Linked DNA regions of Daphnia pulex. The protein of the gene in region 2 purifies or fractionates together with the protein of the main gene of each other region. This does not show direct contact. Links are inferred from orthologs where the notes say so. Each region holds a gene or a part of one and is shown on either strand. Other genes may lie near its edges.

Region 1 (4,598 bases), on a different chromosome or scaffold from region 2:
TTAATGCCATTAAAATGATTCATGAGAAATTGTTGATTGGTGGAAAAATGAGAAATTGATGATTGGTGGAAATATTGACAAATTCCCCCCAAAAAACCTAAACCCCGTGAAAAAAACACCCTATCGGGAAATAAATATTTAATTTCGGTGATATTTTAATTAGAAATTGACGTAGGTGTTCGTTAGTTGTCGCCGCCTAGCGGTGATTGTTGGTTTACCACTCTATGATTCTCTGGTTTTGTTTTGGTTTGGTTTGATTAGGTGCGTCTGCTATCTGTGATTCTCTGGTGATTCTCTGGATTCTGTTTGTTTCTAAAAACCATAGTTTACAATTCTTAGCGCTAGGTGGAGACAACCAACGAACACCTCTCCCGTCCCCTCAAAATTTAACCGCAAATATCTTTTAATTTAATATCTTCACAAGAAAGGTGCTTTGGAGACTTAGAATAGCTTTTTTAATCTCTATCGATTGACCCTTCTTAAAAAAATATGATTAAAAATACACCCGACAAGCTATAACACGGCGGGATAGGACGTGAGTCCCGTCCTCTAGCTTTAGTAGTCCATGGTGGATACAACAGGCCTTAACCATAGAGTAGGCCATGGGGTAACTAGGCTACTACTACTATAAAAATGTTGGCTGTTAGATCTTTCAATAGACTTATTTATTTCAAAAGGACACAAATTGGAATCCAAAATGAACAACTGAGGTATGAATTTTGAAATATTAACTTGTGCATCTGTGTGAGTGTGACCTTATTATGGAAAATGAGTATGTGACAAATAAATAATGATGGTATATTTTTTTCTAGGACTGTTATGCAATCTTGTTGCAGTAGATCCACTAAGCAACCAGAAAATCCTGATATGCCTTTGTCATTTTCCAACTCAAACGCTGCCAAATGGTCAGCACAACAATCATTTAGTGGTGGAGGAAATACTGGTGAATCTCCATGGTATGAGCCATTTGTGATTTCAGCTAGTGTTACTGCCATACTAGTGTGGTTTTGTGTCCTGAGAGAAGAAAATGATGTTGATGATAAACTTGGAAAAAGTTTATATGACAGAGTTGATGGTTTGGAGAAGAAACAATTGGAATTGGCTTTGAAGCACAATATCCAAGGAGTGGATACAGTAGCCATTAAGAAGAGACTAGATGAATTGTCAACAAATAGTTGAATTTCCTATCTGTAAACATAATTTAATTGAAGTTGAAATACATTAAGTAAAAACCAGTTTATTGTTTGGTAAATTTTTTGCGATTCTCCTTTTCAAATCATTTGTTTGCTATTTATTTTTTTTACGTTGAATCTGTGAAGAAACCGTAGATGGCACTGTTTTGTTTTTGATTTTTAAGAATGCAGACGAAAATTGAAGCAAATCTCAAAAATTGACAGTTTGCGTCTTGCGTGGTGTTTCTGCCTCTAAACGCCTGAAGTTAGCGAGAAAATTCATAGAAAAAGAAGCATGGATGTCAATCCGTTGGCGGTAATTTTGGGTAAATATATTATTTACAGATAAAGCTTATTTCAAAAGAAAATATTTAATGGGAACAAACGTGGCTTTAGTCGAAAACGGTAGCAAAGGTGATCGTTTGTTGTTTCGCTATCCTTATGATACTCAAGCTACACCAAACTTTGCAAAACGTACACGCGCAAGTAAGTTCCTTACGAAACTCCATAACTTCCAGCGCAAGTCTCCAAGTTTTTTCTCTGTTGTATTGTATAGAGCAACTGCAAACTCCATACCCCCAGATCAGTGCTGAAGATATGCAAAAAACAAGTGCAGCATATTCCAGTACAATTAGTGGTAGTGTTCACAGCTTTCCAAGCAAAGTATGTTAATATACTCTCTTAATATAATCTGTTTTGAAACATTGAAGGTTATTAAAACATTTTTTCAACTATTTAGGTATTATCCAATTTGTTTGCTGTGAAATCAGAATTGTGTGGAAAAAAATTTGAAATAAAAATAAATGACATTCGGTTTGTCGGTCATCCACTTCTTGTTTACCACCAGGGTGAAGGCAAATCTGCTGGCTCTAGCCAGGAATCAATTTTGTCTTTCAATGTAGTTTTTGCCTTAAAGGTAAAGAGATTCCATTTTAAACTTGCATGATTTTCATCAATATTTTTTACACTTCTAAGGCATCTGCAAGTCATGCAGTAGTTGACTGTTATCATGAAGTAAGCAAGAGAATAGCAGCTGCACTTTGGCATGAAGAGCGTAGAGTGGCATATTTGAGTGAAGAAGCCAAGGTCATGACATCCACTCAAGATGACATTTCTTCGGAATTGCCCGATGATCCACTAGATGTGCCGTACCATTTAATTTTACAACGAAGTCAGCTTGCGCGCGACTTGCGTCGTGTCTACGAAGATTTACAAATTTCTGGGAAGATACATTTGCGCATCAATCGATGGATTCTGATCAGCTGCTGTTTACCTCAAAAAATCTACCACCTTCTTGACCCTGGACTTGTTATTGAACCAGCAGACATTCATGCTTGCATGGAAGCATTGAGACCATACCACGCCATTTTGCTGCTTGGGGACAAAGAAAAAATCATCAATAATCTACCTCTTGATTCGTCCCCCGCTTTGAAACGACTCATAAATCTTGCGAATCCCCTAAAAAGTTTACAAACTTTAGCAGCCGATGCTGACTTGACGCTATCACACGTCTTTCAATTAGTGGGTCACATGCTATACTTTGGACACGCAACCATTATATATCCTCTTTGTGATAGCAATGTTTACGTCCTTGCAGGCAGTGCCAACACTTCCCCACAATCCAAACTTGCTGATGTCTTCTCCGAAATGTTCAATAGTGCTTGTTTAATTCAGATTATGTCCGAATTTTCCGTTCCTGTATCATTGAGCCAGAGAAGGAATCCACTCGCCACTCCAGAGCAAGAATCAGAGGAAATTAAAATTATTATTTGGATGCTGCAACATCATTTGCTCATACAATTGCACACATATGTACATATTGTCGTTGATGACATGCATCCGAGATCATTTAACAAGGGTTCATTTCGTAGTGCCAAAACGGTAAGTTTTTGTGTTTAAAGTATAACGATTACTGTAGTTAAATCAGACAGTATTGTTTGAATTATCCCCTAGACGCGTGTAACGTTTGCAAGTCGCCAGTCCACTCCAGATGAATTGAATGCTGGATCCAGCCTTACACGAATGCCCAGCGATAGCGACATGGCCTCTGTTATTAGTGACGAGGCTTTGTCCAGTCCACCTTCACATAAGAGCATCAGTAGTAAAGCTCCGTGGTCAATCGAAAATATTCTTTCGGCCTCTCTGAGTAATGCTGAAAGAGAGGCTGTCCTTCAAGTTGATGCCGCTGCCAACTCAGAAGACTTGGAACTTTTTGCTCGGTAAGCTAAACTATTATTTAAAAACATCTTTTCATGAATAATCTAATAGAAGAAAACACAGGCTTTGCAAATATTTCCGCGGGAAACACCATCTAGAGGAAATCATGTACTTGGAAAATGTTCGAAGATCGGACCTACTTCACCTTATTGACAAATTTCGAACTATTCTCATTACATTCGAACATGAAGATTCAGCTTGCTCCGTTTTCTACAAGAATTCTACAACTTAAATATCATATTTTTCAGTGGAAATCAAAATTGGTGAATGTTATATGGAAGTCGTTTTCACTTGATTTAAGTTAAAAGCGGTATGTGAACATTGGCGTTAACACTAGCTCGCATCAAAAACCCTCCCTATTGGTCTCCTACGAAGCCGACTGTTGCCGTAGCTCAATACCTGTGTCTACATCGCAGCTTGCGAGGTAATCTTACGTCAGGAAGTCGGTTGGGGGCTAGTGACAGATAGGCCAATGTCGCATTCCTGTTCAACCTTTGTAAACTTTAAATTTTATCTCAGGACAGTATATGTTTTATTTGCTATTAAAATATGAATTTTCCTAAATATTTTACAAAATCCTTAGAATCAAATTTGGCAGAAAGTGAGATTGCTAATTGTTTGGTAAAGCAAGAATAAATATATCTACTTTTACATATGTTAGCTCTACTTTACAATTGTGCATGGTAATATTCACCTTTATGAGGAAGCAAAATAGATGGCAATGAATGAAGTGATGATGACGTACAGTGGTGAAATATTACAAGCTAAAACCTGTTTAAAGAATCTTTTTTCGGGAAAAGCTCAAAGAGGTAGAAAGATAAATAAAGAGATCGGCTGAACGACTGCTATTATTCGCAACGTTCTGCTTCGCGGAGCTGATTTCCTTTGTATGCCATTGATCTCGGATGGCGGAGCATCTTAGGTCGAAGGTTATCTACATCATCTTCCTCCAACTCTTTTCGGGCTTGGATAAACTTGGTTTTGAGAGACATAACATCATCGCCAAACTCAGTCAGTACAGTAGACATCTTCGAAACATAGGCTGCAATCAATTAAGAAGTTGCATGTGTTAGAAAATAAGAGTAAACAATAATTTTACTTGACAAACCTTCAAGATCAAAATCAAGTTGATCGGGAAGTTCGATTAGCTTAGCAATCGTTTCATGCCATTTCGGAAAACTCTCAAGTAAATTACGATGACTTTCAACG
Region 2 (4,083 bases):
TGACGTGATTCACTAGTCGACAGTTTTGAGCGTCGCAACTCACTGCCGTGTCACTTTCGACAAACGGTAATTTGGTGCATACGAGTGAATTATCCTTTTCAAGAAACCGCAACCTCCGTCGTTCCGTTTTGTTTCGACACACACTCGGAAGTGACCCACTCCAATTTCGTTATCCTCTATACATCATAAGCCACAATCCCCTAAAAGGTTAGCAACATTTGATTACACGTTACCTCATTTATCACTCGCTAGGAAAACGTCAACTTTTGTAACGAGCGTTCATAAATGAGTGTATTAGGAATACGTCACGGACTGCACAGGGGGTTGACCGACCACTTTAAAGTAATCGAAACGATAAAGTGACGCTTTGGGGTCGAAACGTAATTAGAATCCCTATCGGGACTTTTTTAAAAATTTGTTAATAATATTTTTTGTTTCTGCAAAAATATTTAAAAAAGTATTCCGTTTGTTTCTTATAAAAAAGAAATTTAACATTTTAACCTGAGAATAACGGAAATTTTACTTTTGTAGCAAATTTGTATAGTTTCAAAGTTTTTTGTAAACCAAATGTATTCTTTGTCTCAACGTATTTAATGCGATTTAATATATTATCAGACGGAAAACACAGTGTTATTTTCCAACAAGCAGTTGCAACCACATCCTGTAGGGCATTCGTCTTCTTCAGTGAACCAATGCGACATGCATCTACCATGACCACCGTGTCCGCACACCAGACAAAAACTCGCAGAGCCTGAAAATAAATGATTCAACCATTATGCCACCTCTAACGCTATTACATGACTGATATTTACTAGATGGTTTTAAGATAGTTACCTTTTACAACAACTCGACAAATAACGCAATTGAGAAGCAAACGCTTGCAAAGGGTGCATTGCGGCCCTCTAACCGTAGTCCTACAAGGAACACACTCAGTTACGAAATCCACGCCTCTATGAGGATCAATGGGAGTGGATAAATATTTCAAAACCTTGAATAGACAAAATTGGTTTTCAAGAAGTACGGCCAAGAAGTTATTATTTTTAATCCGCATACCAAAACGCGAGCCTCGAGAAGTCCCCAGCGATAAAGGATATCAGCATAACATCGACGGTAGTTGTCAAATAATCCATTAAATTTCGGATCTAGTAATCTTGAAATCAAATTGAGAAAAGAAAACGCTTAGTTACGAAATTCAACAACAATAAAAACTCTTGATGTGAATGCGATCAAAATTTCAAAATTATTAAAAATTTCAAACCTGAAATCCTTGTCTTTATACTCTTCACTTCCATCAGTCCCATTCACTGAAACGACGCTCGTCACAGAGTGGGGTAGGAAAATGGAAGCGACTGAAATAAAAACCCATTCAGACAAAATTGATAACATTTCTAAAAATTTAAGGAGAAGCCCTTACTTGGCAAAGGGCGACCACTTGGGACAGAGTTAATTCCAGGAGTTGCAAGACGAAAATCATCAAGTGAATCCGACCACGAATTTGAACGTATTTGTTTTAAGACATTCCAGCTATCTAAAGTTGTGTCGCCCGGGTGTATTGTATGATACGGTGATTCTCCTGGCTAATGTTGAACATCAGAATAATTAAAGTTCACTCATCATAAGAGCTTAAAAGAGAAAAAAGCGAGGAAAAATAGGAAAACTCATATTCTCCACTATTGTGATTAGATATTTTTCATGTAAAAAAACCATCACACTTACGTGGGGGTAAAATCTAGAGGAATATATGCCTACCTTTAAACCCCACCGTAAGTTGCGCTGTAGGAAAAAAAACTCATTGATATCCCGCAGTCAGCATTCTCAAAATCCCAGCAGCACCAAGGAAATAAGCCACAGTGTTAGAGAGAGCATGTTGAGACAAAGAAGTAGCGATATTATGGAGCAAGATAATTTAGTTAAAAAAAAAAAAAAAAAAAAAAAAAACCAAAAACAAAAGGACAGACCACAAAGAATTTGAAATGCAATTATTCCCCTGAAAAAGGAAGGCGAAACCAGATTGCAATCAGGAAACGGAAGCCGAGCACGAAGAAATTAGAATAAAAAAAGATTTTATGATCAGAACACTCGAGAGAAAAGCCAATCCGACGATCACCTTTTTAACAATCAAACGTAAGACCTTGCTTATCGGTTCTAGTGCTATTAATCGTGATACCAAGTTTCAGAATGCCAGATTTCATGTTAAAAAATTAAAATAAGCTTCTACACTTACGCTGCCCGATTCCGATCGTGTTGTTTTACGCCGGAAAGTTTCCTGACTATCACATTTGTAACCAAATGCGCAACACAACATGGCTACAGTTTGTATATCTCGTAATTTCACGTAGTGGTCGATACTGTAATAAATTATAATGTTGGTGTGTTGTTTTAAGTATACGCTAAAGAGATCAAATAAATACACATATACATACATCGCATGAAGAAGCTTCCGGCCGAATGGATTTTGAGCCCATGGGGTATCAAGGTCATTGGTATTATTTTCGTGTATCAAGGTAGGAGTTGCCAGAAGGGCACCCAACGACCAAATGTAAGTCAAATCTTTTCTGCCAAACTGCGCAGCAACCGCTGCATTTTGGTTGCACATCCATGCCGTATCAGTATCGCTAAATCTGGTGAATAAAAATATGTAATGAAACTATGACTAAATCTGATTCAAGGAATTATTATACAAGAAAATATATAAAAGATAAACTAACACATATCTTTCTGCTAATTCTAACTGCTGTGGCATCAATCCAGAAGCATCGTAAATCGTCACCATTCCGACCACCTTATGATGACGTGCCTCTTGAGCTCCCCTTTTATTTTCGTCTGAAGACGAGCTATAAGAGGAAAGTCTATTTTTCGACTTAGAAGTTCGAGATTTCTGTCTCTGAATGAATTACAAAATATTTTGTTATTTAATCAGCAATGGAATTATCTCATTAATAAAAGGCTAATGTCAGCAATCACGGAAATACTTCCAAGTATAGCCTACCCTGTCTTGGTTATAAAAAGACGAGATGCTGACTGACGGATCACCGGTCGGACTTTGAGCAACGGGCGGATACAACAATCCATAAGGAGTCGTATTTGATGAAGCTACCAAGCTATGCTGTACCAAGTTTGATGAATAAGCTTGGTTCACGGATAGAGAACGAGGTGTAGTTGAAGTGTCCGAAGTTTTACTGTTCACACGCCTTCAATTATATAAATAAAATAGAACTGATGAATTCCTAGTCGTACGATTAATCATTTCAATTAATCAAAAACCTTAAATAGGATGGTCGACCAAAACAAATCAGCATACCTGTATAAAATAAAACAAGGGCAAATCAATATAGCAGTTTGCTGAAGGATATTTTTATGTTTTTTGTTTTAATGACATTACCAGCACTGCAAAATCGAGCACCGGATGACCGAGGGTATGGAATATTGTGGTCTTGATGATGAGTTAGACTACCAAATAAACCGCCATTCTGTAGGAAACCAGGATGCCCAAGACCAGTTTGCGGTAACCTAGAAAACAGATTCGTTAATTATGTTTAGTAGCATATTGAATATACGTTTCATCTAAGTAACTAAATACGAATTAAATGTTACCTGAAAGGAGTATTTCCGGTAGTTGATGAGTTGACATTCAATGTTATGGTCTTTGACGATTCCGTTTCTGACTTATCAATTGGTGTTAACTGATCGACTGAAATTAGAAGTTGTTGTAGCACGAGCTCTATAGACGGATGACCTTTGCGGCACGATAGAGTTGCTGCTTGTTTCAAAACCTGTACAATGCCGCCGTGTCAAATAAATCTTTTGAGTTACGCAAGAATAAACTCTCTCGAAATACTTTTAACATTTTGCTTCTGGCATTGTTGTCAATAGTCGTTCCTTTTCCGAATAGAAAATTTGGAATCGCTCCGTCGGGATACGATGGAGGCATAGAAATATGAAGTATTATTTGATGCTTTGCAGTGCGAATCACTGTTGTTAAGCTTCGTTGTGTCTCGTCTACATCGCAAACACTGATAGAGTTATCAGTACCAATGGAACCTGAAGAAACAGAAAAATAACCACAAATTTATTCCAGGGAAA

Evidence for each region. Proteins that work in one complex are often made in the same cells at the same time.
Region 1: the proteins of GATOR complex protein WDR59-like (region 2) and GATOR complex protein NPRL3-like purify together in Homo sapiens (affinity purification with western blotting; 3 studies listed by BioGRID and IntAct, with this or other methods). This does not show direct contact. The link is inferred for Daphnia pulex from reciprocal best matches to the Homo sapiens genes WDR59 and NPRL3.

The regions. Positions count from the first base shown.
Region 1 is NC_060022.1:6,641,337-6,645,934, forward strand, and holds GATOR complex protein NPRL3-like, read left to right. Parts: upstream 1-1,357; 5' UTR 1,358-1,467; coding exon 1,468-1,498; intron 1,499-1,568; coding exon 1,569-1,658; intron 1,659-1,728; coding exon 1,729-1,835; intron 1,836-1,911; coding exon 1,912-2,088; intron 2,089-2,147; coding exon 2,148-3,053; intron 3,054-3,125; coding exon 3,126-3,391; intron 3,392-3,452; coding exon 3,453-3,621; 3' UTR 3,622-4,044; downstream 4,045-4,598. Other genes in the region: eukaryotic translation initiation factor 3 subunit D-like, read right to left, coding at 1-23; uncharacterized protein LOC124195566, read left to right, coding at 634-710, 813-1,179; kinesin-like protein KIF2A, read right to left, coding at 4,238-4,431, 4,498-4,598. UniProt on the Homo sapiens protein: As a component of the GATOR1 complex functions as an inhibitor of the amino acid-sensing branch of the mTORC1 pathway.
Region 2 is NC_060019.1:12,027,832-12,031,914, forward strand, and holds the end of GATOR complex protein WDR59-like, read right to left. Parts: intron 4,042-4,083; coding exon 3,839-4,041; intron 3,774-3,838; coding exon 3,595-3,773; intron 3,511-3,594; coding exon 3,383-3,510; intron 3,302-3,382; coding exon 3,265-3,301; intron 3,192-3,264; coding exon 2,990-3,191; intron 2,885-2,989; coding exon 2,709-2,884; intron 2,622-2,708; coding exon 2,424-2,621; intron 2,349-2,423; coding exon 2,225-2,348; intron 1,815-2,224; coding exon of another isoform or gene 1,774-1,814; coding exon 1,750-1,773; intron 1,578-1,749; coding exon 1,415-1,577; intron 1,350-1,414; coding exon 1,259-1,349; intron 1,151-1,258; coding exon 1,054-1,150; intron 989-1,053; coding exon 835-988; intron 752-834; coding exon 612-751; 3' UTR 590-611; downstream 1-589. UniProt on the Homo sapiens protein: As a component of the GATOR2 complex, functions as an activator of the amino acid-sensing branch of the mTORC1 signaling pathway. The GATOR2 complex indirectly activates mTORC1 through the inhibition of the GATOR1 subcomplex.